Linked DNA regions of Danio rerio. The protein of the gene in region 2 interacts with the protein of the main gene of each other region in a pairwise test. Links are inferred from orthologs where the notes say so. Each region holds a gene or a part of one and is shown on either strand. Other genes may lie near its edges.

Region 1 (8,070 bases), on a different chromosome or scaffold from region 2:
AATTTGACCTTAAAATGGTTCATAAAAAAATTAAGAACTGCTTTTATTCTAGCCAAAATAAAACAAATAAGACTTTGTTCAGAGGAAAAAATATTATCAGACATACTATCAACATTTCCTTGCTCTGTTAAACGTCATATAGGAAATATTTTAAAAAGAAAAAAACAACAAAGGGGGGCTAAAAATTCTGACTTTCACTGTATATATATTTACAGTAATTTTTTTTACGTTTTTAAGAAAACTTATTCAGTTCATTAAGGCTACATTTATTAAATGTAAAAAATGTTAAATTGTTAAATATTTTTCAAAACTTTAAATAACTGCTTCATTATTGTATGTAGTTTCAAATAAAATTATTACTCCAGACATTATTGCTTTTATTACTATAATAAGTATAATAATAATTAATATTAGTGATTTCTGAAGGATCAGGTGACTGGAGTAATGAAGCTGAAATTTCATCTTTAAAATCACTGGAATAAATGAATAAATTAAATGATAAACTACTTTTGAACAGTTATTTTATAGTGCAACATTTCATAATTTGTATTTATGATGAAATAATTGCAGCCTTGGTGAGCAGAAGAAGCTTAGTTTAACATATTTAATCATAATCATACAAACGTCTATGTGTCAAAGCACCATAAGATTGTATTTGCACACAATTGACAGACAGTCGCAGCACGCAGCTCTGGCTCGATCTGTCAGGCATCAAGGCACCACTGTACACTGGCCCGAGCGTCACTCACGCTGGCTCCGGGCTATCGGGCAGTCCTTATTGTCGAGCCCTGAAGGTTTAAGCTCTGTAGATGGGTCACCTGCGTCTGCACAGTTCAATGAGCACTTTAACAAGCGTGTTTTTTTCCGCTTGGCAAGCCAAGCTGACGTGACATGGGGGCGTGGCAGCATCGACGATTCTATTTTTTGATTCGATAATCAAAATCGAGCATAAATTGATCGATTTCGATTAAAAATCGAAATCGTGACACCCTTAATAAATATATATATATATATATACACATATACATATACATATATATATATATATATGCATATATATATATACATATATATATATATATATATATATGCATATATATATATATATATATATATATATATATATATATATATATATATATATATATATATATATATACATACACACACACACACACAATTGAAGTCAGAATTCTTAGCCCTCCTGAATTATTAGCCCCTGTTTATACTTTTTCCTCAATTTCTTTTTAATGGAAAGATTTTTTTCAACACATTTCTGAACTTAATCATTAATAACTGATTTCTTTAATCTTTGCCATGATGACATTAAATAATATTTTACTAGATATTTTTAAAGACAACCTTTTAAATTGAAATTTAAAGGCTTAACTAGGTTAATTAGGTTAACTAAGCAGGTTAGGGTAATTAGGCAAGTCATTGTATAATGAGGGTTTGTTATGTAGACTATCGAAAAAAATTGCTTAAAGGGGTTAGTAATTTAAACCTTAAAACTTTTTAACAAAAATTAAGACTGCTTTTATTCCAGCTGAAAAAAATAAATAAGACTTTCTCCAGAAGAAAAAAATTGTATCAGACATAATGTGAAAATTTCCTGACTCTGTTAAACATTCAGGAAATATTTAATAACGGAAAAAAAATTCAAAGGGGGCTAAAAACTCTGACTTCAACAGTATAAGGGCTGCACGATTAAAAAATTCTGTCTTGCACATTCCATTATATTGCACAAAAACATTTTTTCACAATGTCATAGCTCAGACCTCATAGCAGATTGCAATTTTAGTTGCATAGTAACATTGTGTTTAGTCAGGGATGTTCTTTAAGTGGAATGATGACATTAAATTAACTTGTTAAGAATTTCAACAAAGCAGCATTTAAAAGCTACAATACAATCACAATATGGCATGGAAAAAGAGGTTGTTGTGCATTAATGCAAACAACAGTATTTATATTCCTCAACTGAACTATGCTGCAATTTTAGCAAGCATAGTTGCTATAAAAAGTAGTGTATGATTTTAATTCATAACAGATTTTGAACTTCTAATTATCTATACTGAACAGTACTAGTTCTAGGCACTGTGCTTTTGTAAAGATTCTTTGAATGAAACAGATCAAAAGCATTTGACAGACATTCTACTTACACTATTGCTCAGTTTAATGGAGTGTTATTGTGTATAATGCTGTGTATAATTAAAACACCTCAATGACAAGCATCAACATGACAAGCATTAACTTCTGGTCACCTTGGACAGGGATTTGAGGGCACGAACAGCATCTCTTCGATCCTCCAACAGGGTTGATGAAGCCACACGATCACACAGCTTCTGAATCTGAAGATTAAATCAACAGAAAGACACAAAAGAATGGTTCGTAATTGCCTCATCATAGTGTGGCAAACCTTACTTTATTTCAAGTATCCAATAAGTTCACATAGAATGTATGTATGTATATATGTATGCATGTATGTGTGTGTGTGTGTGTATATACATATACACACACACACACACACACACACATAGAATGTATGTATGTATATATGTATGCATGTATGTGTGTGTGTATATATATATATATATATATATATATATATATATATATATATATGTGTGTGTGTGTGTGTGTGTGTGTGTGTGTGTGTGTGTGTATGTTAGTATGTATGTATGTGTGTGTGTACACACACACACACACACACATACACACACACACACACACACACACACGATGGAGAACATTAAAACCATCAAATTACTAAAAACGACTGTCATATATGCCATTTAAACTAGCTTTACATCAGGGTTGTTTGTCATTTGATTAACAATCAGTTAGTCTCAGTAATCTGCAAGCTGAGTTAATTTTTTATTGGTTTACACGCATAACGTCAGATGTATGTGTTTATGCAGTAAATTAGCTCACTGTTTCTGCTCCAGTCGGCTGCGGGCCTGCTGGTTTGCTTCCCATTACTCCCCTTAGGAAATCCATCGTTCTGTGTCCGCTTTACTAATATTTTCAATGTTGATCACAAGGCAGACTAAACCTCAGGTGAAATAAACTGATTTTCCAGGAGAGATAGACAGCAAATGTCATTTAACAGCAGCTGCCTGATGTTGATCTCACAACACACCAGCACCCAGCCCGGAACTGACAAGGACACGCATGCGCATAAACGTGGCGATACGTGGCTGACCACAGTGTCAGTGACGATGTCTTAAAGAGACAGATGACACAAAAACACGATGTAAATGAGTAACTTCTAGTAATAGAAAAACGCCTTTTCGTGTGCAGTAGTGTTTCAAACAAGCAAGCAAACAAACGAATAATAAATAAACAAAACCACACATTTTGAAAATTTGGTAATAACTTCAGTGATAGAATAGAACAATAAACAGGAATTTTGCACAGGATTGAAATTCTTTATAAAATGTTATTAATAGTTAGACTGCGATCCATAAAGGCAGCATTTCAATTTGCTGCTTTTGTCATATCTTTTTTGTCAAAAAACATATTTCATATTTTAAAAAATGAATCTGCTAGCAAAGTGTGATTAAATTTTACTGTTGACCTTCTGAAAAAATGTCTAATTAATTTTTAAAGTATTTTATAACTACATTGTTGTGTTGCTAAATCTATCCGAAAAATATATTCTGTATTTTCAAGAAACGGGTTAAAAAATGAGCTTTTCTTCAAACATTTTAGCATGTTTTCAGTTATTAGTTTAAAACAATCACAATTTAGTCAGATTAAATCACAAACTGTTTTCCAATACAATAGGTGTTTTATCTATCTAGCAAACAATGCATAGGTAATAACAAAGGCCAGACAGAATCTGTAGACATTGTTTGCTATTTCTGCTGAAAATATAGTAAAAAAAATCTGTGGATTTATGCAAAATGATTTGAAGAGCGTCATAACTAAAAACGTAAAATATATAGTAGAAAATAAATTTTAAACGTTTTATTAAACACTTACAATTCAAATCCATCTAGTTCCCCTCATTTGGTTAACAAACCAACTCTTATATAAAATGTTTAAAAAAAAAAGAAAATATTACTTTACAAACTGTATTGTAAATAAATCATATGAACATTTTTATATTACTATTAATATTATATCACAGTAATATTAGAGGGGCATATATATATATATATATATATATATATATATATATATATATATATATATATATATATATATATATATATATGTGTGTATATATATGTATATATATGTATGTATGTATGTATGTTAACAATACAGGTTCAATCCTATGGCAAAATATTCACTGTATTAGAGGCAAAATGTGCTACACAACACTTAACCTTCATCCTACATTTGATGGTGGACTGGACAGTTTAATAAAAAGAGAGCAATTAAACTTCAAAAAATGTTGTAAGGGTCATAACTCGGGTAGCGTGAGTGTATTTGTGACATAACTAGCACATCTTTAATTCAGCCACATGACCAACATGATTTGAGATATATATATATATATATATATATATATATATATATATATATATATATATATATATATATATATATATATAATAAAAATATTGGATTTCAGAAAAAAAGCATGATCTCCTAAAATCAGTTTGTGAATTTTAAAAATATAAATTGTGTTAAAAACAGCAACAATGTGAATAAAAACTTCCAAAACAACAGCAAAAAGCAACAGTAATAAGCTCATCATGAGCCTGCACAGTACAGTAAGGTGGTAAATTAAAGCCATGACACTTGTAATGAACAGCACAGATTTCTGTTTATTGTATGTGAAGTCTAACACATTGAAACTGAATGAAAACGAAAGAAAAATTACAAAACGTAATAAATAAACACCCAGCTGCAACGTATTCTACTCACACAAATATGCAGTCCAAGTAAAATAATATGTTAACCATCTGCTAATACAAGTCCATGTTCTTGTTCCACCAAAATAAAACCACATCAACGAACAGAGCCGCTATAATAACTTTTAGAGAAACTGCACGGAAACCAATCAAAACAGTTTGCATTAGGATCAGAGGGTTAAAAGAATCTGATTATGAACTAAACAAAATAAATCAGAAGTCTGATGCATATTTTGGGATGAAAAGCACAGTTATTTGACCAAGCCCTATTGTGTAAGGTCTTCTTTTTTTTCTCCCCTGTGAATCAAACGCTCAACGTATTTGGCTGATTGAAGTGCTTTAAGTCTAAACAGAAAGGCCATTGTGGCATTTATATACACAGTAATTAAAACGTACCAGTTCCCAAACTGAAAACATGTACGAACTAGGTAGAATGGATGGGGAAAGAAGTCTCTAGGCAGGAATTACTGATATACTTTCTTCCAAAATCTTCCAAATAGTAAAAGTATCTGTAACCAAAATGTCTTAGTGTGGAGAACAAGTTGTCCCCAAAACTACTGAACAAATCAAAAATGCAATGTCCCTGATGAGGATTGTCCTAGAAATACTGCAAATAGTGCAATCTACCTGACACGGAAGACATTAAACATCAAAAATAGCGCTACATCAAACTGTACTTACAAAATCAGTGCAAATTTAGACTTTTGAGTAACACTGCAAAAAGAAAACAGTGTCTACTCTACTGTACCTATGGTTCCTCCAATTCATGAAGAACGGCATTTACGGGTTCTTCATTATGACCAGACAAAGATGGACATTTGGTGTAGATATTAAAATAAAAACTCTACTTGAAAACACAAATGTATAAAACGTTCATTAATGAAGCCTTTTCCATCTCATGTGTTTCAAACTACGTTTCTAATCAGTTCTGTTTTTAAAATGCTATTGATAACAATAACTTCAGTTTGAATGCAAAACTAGTCTATTTGGGACAATCAGAAATACACCAGCAAGGTTTCTCTGTACCCTGTATGAATACTGTCATGAAAAAAACAACAATGGCTTGGATGTAATCTAAAATGCACATCACAAAAAGAGATTTAGGCTATGAAAACTGATATAAAAAAAGAGATTGAAAATTTAAACTTCATAAAGTGACTTTGCCTTAAGAAAAAAAAAAAAAAAAAAAAAACATTCAAATCTGGAACGCATTTGCACAAAAATCATGGTACCTTTACAAACGCACCTATTACTGCTCCATTTACTTTTTTCAGGCAGACACGAACATAAATGCTGCCAAACCTGTACAATAAAAAGAAAGATTTATATAGAAACAGAATTGGAGAGGACAGTGTATTTTCTCCTCCCTTACGTTTTTTTTTTTTTCAGATTACAAACTTAAATCATTTCTTTTCTTTCTTTACAGTTTTATAAAGCTGAAATCGTGTTAGCTCACAGTTACAACTTCATGTAGCATTTAGCTTATTAATGAGCTATTCAGTGTAATTATTTAAAATAATATGGATTAAAGGCTAGCCTGAAAAATAAAACAAAATCAATACGATGAAAAGAAAAGGCCATCTCTCCATCTGCACAGTTTGCAGAAACTAGAAGGTTATCTAATACAAAATGCCACAGAGCAGAGGTTAAACTTCATACGGCACTAAAAACACCCAACTTCTTTCCCCACAAAGTTTGCAATTGTTTCCATTTGATAATCAACAAACCAGAGGATTTGCAGCACGATTCCAATTTAAAGTGAATAGTGTGTTATGAGTCATTAGGTTGTTCAAGTCGTTGAACTGCTTCAACGGAAACAGTAGACATTCCAAAGGCAAAAATGCAAGTGTAAAACAAAGCGTAAGGAAGATTATATAAAATAAAAAAACCTGAAGTATGTATATGTTTTTTTACATAGACTTCTCAATATCAGAATAAATGAAGACCGTACTACTTCCAAACTACAGGGAGAGCTCCTCTCAACGCCTCTGAGCATTAAAACGGCCCTCATTGGAACCCGAGCCCCTTCCGGAAGCCAAGCCTGGCTTGGGTACAGTGGCAACACGTGAAGGCGGGCCTCTGCCGTCTCGCTCTCGCATCATGTTTCCTCCAGCGATGCCCCGCGGCCCACCCGGCCCCCGATCACTGCGCCTGACGTCTCGACGATCGTCTCCTACTCCACTTCTGGTTTCCCGCTCACGCATCGCTCTCGTCTTTTTCTCCTCAACATTCAGACGAACTTCTCCACGGAACATGATTGGCTAAAGACAAATGACAGAAACAAGCACAAACATATTTACACATGAAGAAACTTACAAGCAGGGATGCATCGATTGTGGATATAACAAAGGAGGGCCGGTGCCCTGCACAGTTTAGCTCCAACACTAATCAAGCACACCTGAACAAGCTAATCAGTGTCTTAAGGATCACTAGAAATCTATAAGCAGGTGTGTTTGATTAGAGTTAGAGCTAAGCTGTGCAGGACACCAGCCCTCAAGGCCCGAGTTTGCCCACCCCTGGCCTAGGGCCTCAATACATTACAGATATGCTGACTGAATACAAACCTAACTCAGATCTTTAGGATCAAATAAACTAGAAATTCCAAGAGTTCAGTCAAAGCAGGTTGAATCCGTCTTCAGCTACTGTGCACCCCGATGCTGGAATCAGCTTCCAGAAATGATCAGATATGCTCCAACAGTAGGCACATTCAAATCAAGACTGAAAACAGATCTGTTTAGCTGTGCCTTTACTGAATCAGCACTGTGCTACATCCGACAGATCGCACTATTACGTCTTTCTTTTTTTTTCTCCATTCTTTTATAACCTAGTTTCAACACATTTGAATCGGTTAATCATTTTTATTATTTGTTTTTTTATTTTGTTATACGTGTCTCTTTTATTCATGCTTATGTAAAGCACTTTAAATTGCCACTGTGTATGTAATGTGCTATATAAATAAACTTGCCTTGCCTATAGAAACCCCCATACTAAAATTTTATTCAGTGTAACAATATTCATTTACCCAAAAATATTGTCAGCCAATTTTTAAAACAATATCTGTTTGATGAGATAGCAAGTTTCTATTAGCCAAATAATAATAATAATAATAATAATAAGAGTAATAATAATTTGATTAACCCTTATGTACAAAGGCAACGTTGTTTCTAATCTTTCACGTTCAATACTGTGATTAAAGAAAAAAAAT
Region 2 (10,858 bases):
TTCTGAAGAAGACTGAAAACCTATAGCCATTGAATTCCATAGTAGAAACAACAAATACTATGGAGGTCAATGGCTAAAAGTTTTCAATGTTCTTCACAATATGTTCTTTAGAGTTCAACAGAAAAAAAGAAAATCAAACTGGGCAATGAAGTGTGAGTAAATGGTGACAGAATTGTCATTTTTGGGTGCACTATACCTTTAATACACCATAAGCAACAATGCTTATATTCACAACAAAAGTAGTTCAATTTTATTATGCAAACAAGATGATTTCAATAAACATTTACAAAAGTTTACTAGGGATGCACTGATAAGATATTATGGCCGATACCAGTTTTAACAATTTTAATTGCATACAGTACTATAAACAGGGTTCATATTCATACACATTTTTCCACTAAACTTACTGGTAAATACACTAAGATTTAAGGTAAATATTCATGACCTAATGTTTCATGTAATTTCTACGATTGCATTGTAAGTAAAAAAAAATGCACATTTAAATTTGTTACAGCATATTATAAAATATGCTATATGTAGTTTACTTTAATGTTCATTTTTTATATCCATGTAGTTTATTTGGATAATGCTTACCCAAATCAGTTAAATTAGTGTGAGTGCATGTGATTAATTGTGATTCAACTGCAATTCATTTAAGTGACAAATAAAACATGACAAATTGTTTTAGTCTGGATGACAAACACTTCACATCTAACAAGAATGAACACTCGAAAAGAAACCAAATTGCATTTGAATTGTCATCCATTGTATAATTCTGAAATGAAGAATATTATCTTCACCAAAAGACTTTCATAATCAATCATACCTGCAGAAATCTTGTCACATCAACTATGACATTCCTGAAGACGTAATCTTCCTTTTGGCAGTCGAACCAGCCGAGTTTGGTGATTCTGGCATAGAGCTGGATCAGGGCTTGTGTCACGAAGGCAGCAAGCTTTGGCCGGGTTGCCAGATAATTGAGAACATAATTTCCTGAGGAATCAATTCAACAATTTTAAAAATTGGGTTTTAATTCTAAAGTTGAATTTGTGGCAGATTCTATAAACTTACGAATGTCAATGCGCTGCTCCAGAGGAAGGGGGTTACTTGTTCGTGACACCAACTTGGAGAGACACGTCGCAGCCAACAACTGTGAGTACGAGGACTGGAAAAACAAACAAACAAACAAAAACACAGTTCGCAATTCAGAAAAGACTTACTCAACTCAAAATAATGAGGGAAGAATGGAGTTTTTGAAAAAATAGTTGAGGTTAGATCATTTGAGAGATTGTGTTCTACAGTTTTCAGAAAGTTAAAGTCTTACACTTCCTCTTTCCAGCAACAACTGGCATTTACTCAGGCAGTCAGGACTGTTGGTGAACTCCACCAGTGCTTTCTCGGCCTGAAGACGTGTGGTGGTGTCTGTGGTCTCATACAGCTGCTTGCACAGGATCTCTAGCTGGGCTAGGCTCTGAAAGAACAAAAACAATAAAAAGTCATTGCTATTTAAATGTCTTTGTTGCCATCACATTATTTTTTATATTAGAAATACAAATATGTTTTGACTTCATTAAAACAACATTCAAAAGATGTATTTTGGTAGATAATTTCTTAACCATCTGTAATCAAATTTCACATTTTGGTTTACTTTTGACCCAAAATTATCATTATTCATATAAATATGATTGATATATTTTTATTTTTTAAAACCATATGCACTTCTCATAAATGAGGGAATGGGTCAAAAAAAAAAAAAACTTACCATGTTAGTACTGCATTTACAACTTGTGATTAAGTTGAAATTTGAGAACACTTATGAAACTGTAACAGTACACTACCTCAACAAACCTGGACATAACAGCTACGTCAAAGCTAAGGTTGTACCCTAAGCCAAATAATATTACTTCAGCAAAGCTTCTGTATCTTCTTGTACAATCACAACATTAAACATCACGTTTATGACAAACCAGACACTTATGTTCCATTAGGCAAATTAATGTGCAGCGCTCACATCCACAATTTATTGTACTAGGTCACTGAGGGAGTATCTGGTTCATGCATGCATGAAAGACTATATGGTGATTGGCAAAAAAGTCAGTGATACACTAATACATAGAGGCGCAATGAAAGAGCTCACTCGTGTTATGCAGCAACAAGCCTCTAAACAGTTCTTTGTTCCCTTGTGGAGCATAACTATACAAAATCAGCCTCAGCAGAAAAACAGCAGCCGCAACAAATGCACAGCCTCAATGAAAAACTCCACGTTTATTATGCAAAACAAATTCTGAACTTATGAACTCAGTTGCCTATACTAGTGTTATCTGGAAATGGTGCCCGAGAGTTACACCCTGTTAAAGAAAAGTTTAATACTTGAACGTAATAAAAAATTTGTACATTTTGATCTGATAAACGAATCAAGAGACCCTAAAAGAACAGGGAGGACCCCTAAAAGAACAGAAAAAATGCATTTGGATCCCAATAGATAACATGTAAGCTGTATTTGCAGAAAACTGCACAGAACAGATAAGACAACCCTGAAACCCAAATGAAAACATCATTAATGGGTTATCCTAAATAAAAAGTTGATAACCACCTACAATTAACCTATAACACATTAATTAAAAATAGCATGCTTTGCTTAATGATAAGAACATACATAAATAAAGTTATTTCACAATTTACAATTAAACTTTGCAATCTTTTGGAACTACTAAACAAGACGGGAACTGAATGATAAAACCAAGAAATATTGCTGAGTCACCTCATTGGCCTCACAACATATTAGATAATTACATAAACACATATTTTGAAACATTAGTTGATAATCATAACATATATACACAAGTATGTTGGGATGCCAGGATGTGATCAGCAACACTCAAGGACCCTTTAAGATGCACTGCTGCTCCGATGGTAATTAATAATCTATTGCTGCAAATGGAATGGCTCCTTTACCACCTACAGAGTAACAGGACGCGTGACAACACTGGAAAGCTCATGTTTACTGGTGCCTGTGCAAATGAGAGTCAGGTTATCAACAGCTTCATCCACGACTTCATTAAATTTCATGGGAATAAGCAACACTGTGTTTAACCTCAAGACCTCTTTAACTTTTGACCTCAAATATGGCCCATCTTGTCGTTTGTCATGAACTGGTTGGTCACGAGATAACGGATGACAAGCAGCGTCTGTGTTTGAACACTAGAAAGCTAGAGCGTTTAATGTACCAGTGACACATTAAAACGATGTCTAGAAACCACTTTTTATGACAGTGACAATTAAATAGTAGAAGAAAAAATAATGATTTTAATTATTAGCAGACTTTTACACACAAGTCATTTACACTTAAGACTCATTTTGAGAATCACTAAAGGAATATTTCTCACCAACCGAATAAAAAAAAGATACATAGAACTACCCCAAGTCTACTCAAAACATATATGACCTTTTTCAAATTAAAAGTGACTTGCGTACATTAAGATCTTTAGCTGAAACGGTGGTCTCCTGGTGATATACTGAGGTTTTGCGAGTGAAACTGAACATCATTTACTACATTATTAACATTTAATCTACAGTCTGGAGTGGAGTGTGAGCTTCCTCTCACAATGATGTATGTGTGCATATTCACACAAGAGCAGAGATGCTGTTTGTTTACATCAGAGTGTGAGGACGCATGATAGACCCTTTATACATTTCTGGGTTTCTCAGTAGCGGAAGTCGTCATGGTTGGGAAAACTTGGGAGCAAAGTTAATGGAAGAGGACAACAATTTTTTTTTTTTTACAATCTTATTTGCTTAAATAATATAAGAAAACTCCGCGATGATGTTATAAAAACTTTCAGAAAAAAGGAAAAAATAGTGCAAGACTGATGAAGGCAGCCAGAGTAATGTCAATAATGTGAATAATGTCAAATTACTCACAGCCCCATAGACTCTGCATACGAACACCTCGCACAAGCTGTAATTTGCTTTTTGTAATTTAAAGCAGGTGACGCAGTAGGTAGTGCTGTCACTTCACAGCAAGAAGGTCGCTGGTTCGAACCTCGGCTCGGCTCAGTTAGCGTTTCTGTGTGGAGTTTGCATGTTCTCCCTGCGTTCGCATGGGTTTCCTCCGGGTGCTCCGGTGTCCCCCACAGTCCAAAGACATGCGGTACAGGTGAATTGGGTAGGCTAAATTGTCTGTAGTATATGAGTGTGTGTATGAATAAGTGTGTGGATGTTTCCCAGAGATGGGTTGCGGCTGGAAGGGCATCCACTGCGTAAAAAACGTGCTGGATAAGTTGGCGGTTCATTCCGCTGTGGCGACCCAAGATTAATAAAGGGACTAAGACGACAAGAAAATAAATGAATGAATTTAATGCAAAGATGATATAACGCATACGTAAACACACATAAATGTTCATGCGTTTTTTTGTTGTTGTTTTTAAATCTAAATATTAAAAAGTTTCAAGGATTTTAGATGCTGATGACCGTTAAACACGACATAACAGGCTTGTGAAGAGTCCATCGAGGTAAAATTGATTTTATATTCACACATTAGCTCAGTGACAACTTGTGACATGCTCCCTATATTGTTTACCATGAATATTTGGTCAGAAATCGCATGCAAGCATGACTTCAAAACAACATTACAACTATTTATTTGACTGTGACATATGTTGTACTTCGATGGTCATTGATTGCTTATATCACTATTTAGAACTTGCAAAGAATACCTTTCTTAAATGATCATTATAGAGAAAGTCTTACTGTCTGAATGTAAAACCAATTTTACCTTAATGGACGCCTGTTACATTGCTCATCAAAATGATACTTAAATCCTATCCTTTACACTGACAACTATAATTGAGGGAGAAAAAAAACATGTTTGTATGATTAAGTTTAGATGTACAATATTTATTGGGAAGACTGTACATGCTTAGACTTATTTGCTGAAGCTGTGGATTTAAAATAACGTAAATAATGTTCAGTTTCTAGCACAGGTATTGGAGTCACCGGTATTTATTTTATTGGGCCTGTATGTTTTAGTTTTTGGCTCTCAGTGTTAACCATTAACAACTCACAAAAGGTCACTGTTTCTCATTAGAAAACTGCTATTTTCGAGTATCCTGTCCCTTAAATATTCTTTTTTTTCAGAGTACACTTTCCCTTAAACATTTTCATTATCAGAAAAGTAAATTAAATTTAAAACTGTATCCCTTAAACATTTTCATTATCAGAAAAGTAAATTAAATTTAAAACTATGATGAATATTGTTTCATTGCAAATGAATTTTGATTAACAAGCAAAACAATATGGATAATTTAGTGGAAAAGCTCTCAAAAAGTTTATTTCAGGTTCGCTAACTAAAGTGCATCCAGTTAACGTTATGTCAGTTATTCAGCGGAGTCAATTCAACTACCCTCAACCTCTACAAATTAATAAATGTGTTACAAATAATACATCTATTTTAATGATTTTCATAAGAATTACCGACATACATCTAGCGGGGAATAGTAACAAATATTTCGTTCTTATAATTTTCAATAGAAACTCATTTCTGCTCGGGCTTTTGGTTTGACGAGACGGCGCGCGGGAGAATCTCATGAGTTAGCATGAGAGCTACAGGCTAACAGCGCGAGAGCTCAGCAAACCGGACACATTTGCGCTCAGCAATAACAGAATGACAGATAACCACAGTACAATGCGCTTTTAGGCTTAACAGCAGTCTTTTCACTCGGAAAAAAGACTCGCTTATTTCGAGTCACTATCGCATTGTGGATATAAGGCCAGTGTGTAGTTATTGCACAGCAAGGGTTTGGATGAAGATGATGCCTTGTTTACAATGTAAAACATGACTGTCGCTATAGAGTTACGTGCAGGGGGGGAAATAAACAATCTCTCTGTATCTGCCAATTCCTGCTGCTTAAACCGATAGTCTTCGCATCTTGCTTCAAAACAACTTTCACTTATGCGACAGAGTTGTGTGTTAGCTTGGACCACAGAGTTAAAATCAACATGATGACAGGCCACAAGTCAACACTTGATAATCGCATCCAATAAAGCATGCTAGTCAAGCTCTCTCGTTTGGCGAAGCATGCATTTAAAACAAACACGCACGCATCGCCGAAATAAGTCTCGACATTTACCATTAGACTGCAGTGAATCAAAATTCATTAATTTCATAATAGCAAAACAAAATAATTTACTTACCTGCACATGATCCGCCATTTTGCTCCATTCATGCTCCTCTCACTCCCCCTGACAATGAGCATGCGCGCATCTGCACACAATCACTGGAACATTTACGCAATTGACGTACGCACTGATCAAGCCAGATGTTCGCTCGAGGCTTCGTGAATACCGTTACGATGGACGTCCACCGCCGAAATAACGCCGAAAAGAGCCTTTGTTTACATGCTTCTTAAAGTGAAACTGCGAATTCAAATATTAGCTGTCACGTGGATTTATAATTTCAAGCGTGATTAAACTTTGCAAGTTGAGAATCAAGGCTATTAACTGATGAAAATGTTTTGTGAGTGTTCACGCGGTGAATGTTTGCACCTGTTGTAAAAGTAAAAAAACGTGCTGACTAATTTTACACAAAACAATGTGCATCACTTGTTTGATGTCAAAAAAATGTGTACAGTGACCCTGAATGTAAAAATGTTATGTTCACTGTTTCAAAATTCTGCATTTAATGGAATTAGTTCATCCTTAAATGAATATTATCATAATTCACCAATTCACCTTGACCTTCTTTGCTTTCAGGAACTTTGATGTGGAGACTGAAGTATGCAAAGGAGCACTGTCTTGCTGAAGAATTTGCCCTCCCCTGTGGTCTTTAATGTTATGGGCTGCACAAATGTCTTAATACCTCAGGCTGTTAATGTTGCCATCCACTCTGCAGATCTCTCGCATACCCACATACCGAATGTAACCCCAAAACCATGCTTTTTCCTTCAACAAACTTGACTGATTTCTGTGAGGGTCCATGCGGGTTCCAATAGGTGTTCTGCAGTATTTGTGATGATTGGGATGCAGTTCAACAGATGATTCATCTGAAAATCTACCTTCTGCCACTTTTCCAAATGATCAACTAAAAGTCAAGTTATTATTTGTTGCTCTTGCAACTGGGATCGACTACAACACTTTTGTCAAGTAGTGTATGTTTGTATGCTTTATTTTATAGTCAGACAATAAGGGTGTCCCGGTGGTGCAGTGGATAGCACAATCACATCACAGCAAAAAGGTCTCTGGTTCGAGCCCTGGTTGCTTTGGTCGGCATTTCTGTGTGGAGTTTGCATGTTCTCCTCCCAGTGTTCGCCTGGGTTTCCTTTGGATGGTCTGGTTTCCCCCACAGTCTATAGACATGCAGGAATACAGTATAGGTGAATTAAATAAACTAAATTGGCCGAAGTGTATGTTTGGGGGGCGACATGGTGGCGTTATGCTGTCGCCTCACAGCAAGATTGTCGCTGGTTTGAGCCTCGGCTGAGTCAGTTGGCATTTCTGTGTGGAGTTTGCATGTTCTCCCTGTGTTCATATGGGTTTCCTCTAGGTGCTCCCGTTTCCCCCACAAGTCCAAAACAAGCGGTACAAGTGAATTTATAGGCTAAAATTGTACATAGTGTATGTTTGTGAATTAGAGTGTATGGGTGTTTCCCAGGGATGGGTTGCATTTCCCAGGGATGGGTTGTTCATTCCGCTGTGGCGACCCCTGGGGAATAAAGGGACTAAACTGAAGAAAAATGAATGAATGTACAGGATTCTAGTTATTGCTTGCATTTTTGCTAATTGGTTGGTAGCGCATTGCTAAGTATAGTTGTTGGTGGCTGTTAATTGCAAGTATTTTACCTTTTAATGATCAAGTAAAATGGAAATCAGCTTCTTGAATTATGACATGCAGTTAATTGAGCACTATAAAGGTTTGAAGATGACTCAACTGGCAGGTTTCAGGCTCTCAACCAAACCACAAGATTTTACGACAGAAAATTTCAGTCAGCTGTAGCTTTGCCAGCCAACAGCTCATTCAGAGTGTTCAGTGGAGTGAAAGAGAGCGTGGAGACACCACAGGATTAGATGCTTTTTTCATCCAGAGTTTGTTTGCTGCTATTATTGTATTGGTTTTATCACACTGTGACTCAGAATTGCTTTCTGTTTTTCTACTTGGTAATTGACATCTCCATATATTTTTAACAAAACTGATTTCGGGTCCTTGATTCTGATTATTTGAGCAGTGTTTGAAGACGTTGTGAATTATTTTATAAACAAACACCTGTGGCATTTTACGTCTGTGTTTCTGTCATTTGATGTATTTATTATTTCAGTAGGATTAACTGTTTAAAATTCCCTATTAATGGCCAGGAACTATAAAAATACGCTACAAAAAATTAAAATAACACTGGTAATGATATTATACTGTTAAACTGCACAATAAAAATTCATTCATTAATTTTTCTTCAGCTTAGTCCATTTTTTTATCAGGGGTTGCTACAATGGAATAAAGTGCCAACTATTCCAGCACGTTTTACAGCAGATGCCCTTCCAGCTGCAACCCAGTACTGGGAAATACCCATACACTCTCACATTCACACACGCACTCATAGACTATAGGGCCATTTTTTAGTTCATCTAATTCACCTATAGCGCATGTCTTTTGTGGGGGACACTGGAGCAACCGGAGGAAACCCATGTAAACACAGGTAGAACGTGCAAGTTCTTTTCAGAAACACCAATTGGCCCAGCTGGGACTCAAACCAGCGACCTTCTTGCTGTGATGCGACAGTGCTAACCACAGTTAAAATTATTTAAAAATATATTTCCAGAAGCCAAATTAAAACATACAAAAAGTTAAATATAACAATGAAAATTAAATTTAAATGTTATCTTGGCAACTAATTGAAATAAACAAGTCTTAAACCTACACAACTAAAATGAAGATTTATTTAAAAAAATTAAACAAATACTAATAAAATGCTAAATAAAGTACATCTGAATTGATTAAAGTAACATTTTTATATAGAGAACATTCAACATTTTAACAAATTACCAAACAAACAAAACAAACTTTGTAAAATTTCAAAAGAGTATTTTCTTACAAAACATATTCCAGTGATGAAACTACTGAAATGCCAAAAGACAGTGGGAAGTCACAAGGCCAAAGACTGCCTTTGCACAGAGTGGAGGTTTCAGCTGCAGTCTTTGACCCTTTTGCATGAATTCTATATTCAGTTTTGATGCAAAATAACTGCACATGTATTTATACATAATTTATGAAATACAAATTCTTTTTATTTTGAGATCATATAATCCAACAATGAAGTAGTTACAATACAAAAATGTGAAAAGAAAAATATTACAAGACAGACTTGAGAAATAGCCCCAAAGTAATGTTGTCTTGTAAGAATTTACAAGACTGAGCTATTTTCTTTAATTGCTAACAAGAACCTTAAACATAACAAATGATAGTGTTTTCAAGTAAATTGCATTTATTACAGTATCAACAGATTCATTTTTAGATTTATAGACTGTTTTTGTATATGGTACTTCCCCTTACATCATTATTAAATTAATCACCAAATTCTGCTCTAAAATATTATTATACAGATTTTATGAAGAGATTTGATAAATATTCATTTATACATTTTTTTACACACTCATTCACACACGTACACTATGGACATTCATTCATTCATTTTCTTTTAGGCTTAGTCGCTTCATTAATCTAAGGTCACCACAGCAGAATGAACCGCCAACTTATGCAGCATATGTTTTATGCAGCAGATGCCCTTCCAGCTGCAACCCATCACTGGAAAACACTCATACACTCTCATTCTCACACACATACACCATGGACAATTTTAACCTACCCAATTCACCTGTACCACATGTCTTTGGACTGTGAGGGACACCAGAGCACCCAGAGGAAACCCACGCAAACATGAGAAGAACATGTAAACTCCACACAGAAATGCCAACTGACCAAGCCGAGGCTTGAACCAACAACCTTCTTGCTGTCAGGTGATCGTGCTACCCACTGTGACACCGTGACGCCCATTTGATAAATATATTGACTATAAATCCCAAAAAATGGTGTCGCCTTACAGCAAGAAGGTCGCTGGGCTGCAGGTTTGAGCCTCGGCTTGGGAGTTTGCATTTTCTCCCTGCATTTGCGTGTGTGTGTTTGTGTGTGTGTGTGTGTGAATGTTTCCCAGAGATGGGTTGCGGCTGGAAGGGCATCCGCTGCGCAAAAATGTGCTGGATAAGTTGGCGGTTCATTCCGCTGTGACTGTCGATTAATAAAGGGGCTAAGCCGACAAGAAAATGAATGAATGAATCCCAAAAGTTTAAATACACATTATAAAAGAAGCATTCTCACTTAAAGTAAAACAAAATGCATGTAGTTTTCTCATATATTTATAAAATCTTTGGTGAGAGTATTTACTAAGGTAAATCCCATACTTTTTTTCTGATCATATTGTACATTTAGGCAATACTGTTGTTCTACATATTTATTTAATGTAAAGGTTATAAAATGTAAACTAGTATCTATAATTTTCACATCATCGATATATGCTGTGATTGAAACATAGAAATAAGCCCAGAAGAAGAAGATACAGTTGAAGTCAGAATTATTAGCCCCTCTGTTTATTTTTTCCCCCAATTTCTTTTTAAAGGAAAGAAGATTTTTCAAACACATTTCTAAGCATAATAGTTTTAATAGCTCATTTCTAATAACTGATTTGTTTGATCTTTGCCATGCTGACAACAAATAAGATTTCACTAGATATTTTTCAAGACATTTCTATAAAGCTTAAAGTGACATTTTTAGGCTTAACTAGGTTAATTAGATTCACTAGGCAGGTTAAGGTAATTA

The links. The genes of interacting proteins can lie anywhere in the genome.
Region 1: the proteins of xpo7 (region 2) and uso1 interact in binary tests that used the Homo sapiens proteins (3 or more experiments, as listed by UniProt). The two-hybrid records come from large-scale screens. The link is inferred for Danio rerio from reciprocal best matches to the Homo sapiens genes XPO7 and USO1.

Annotation. Positions count from the first base shown.
Region 1 is NC_133176.1:28,109,322-28,117,391, reverse strand, and holds the start of uso1 (general vesicular transport factor p115), read right to left. Parts: upstream 3,159-8,070; 5' UTR 2,998-3,158; coding exon 2,932-2,997; intron 2,349-2,931; coding exon 2,262-2,348; intron 1-2,261. Other genes in the region: g3bp2a (ras GTPase-activating protein-binding protein 2), read right to left, coding at 6,845-7,126. UniProt on the Homo sapiens protein: General vesicular transport factor required for intercisternal transport in the Golgi stack; it is required for transcytotic fusion and/or subsequent binding of the vesicles to the target membrane.
Region 2 is NC_133185.1:24,928,493-24,939,350, reverse strand, and holds the start of xpo7 (exportin-7), read right to left. Parts: upstream 6,246-10,858; 5' UTR 6,211-6,245; coding exon 6,193-6,210; intron 1,472-6,192; coding exon 1,325-1,471; intron 1,166-1,324; coding exon 1,072-1,165; intron 994-1,071; coding exon 827-993; intron 1-826.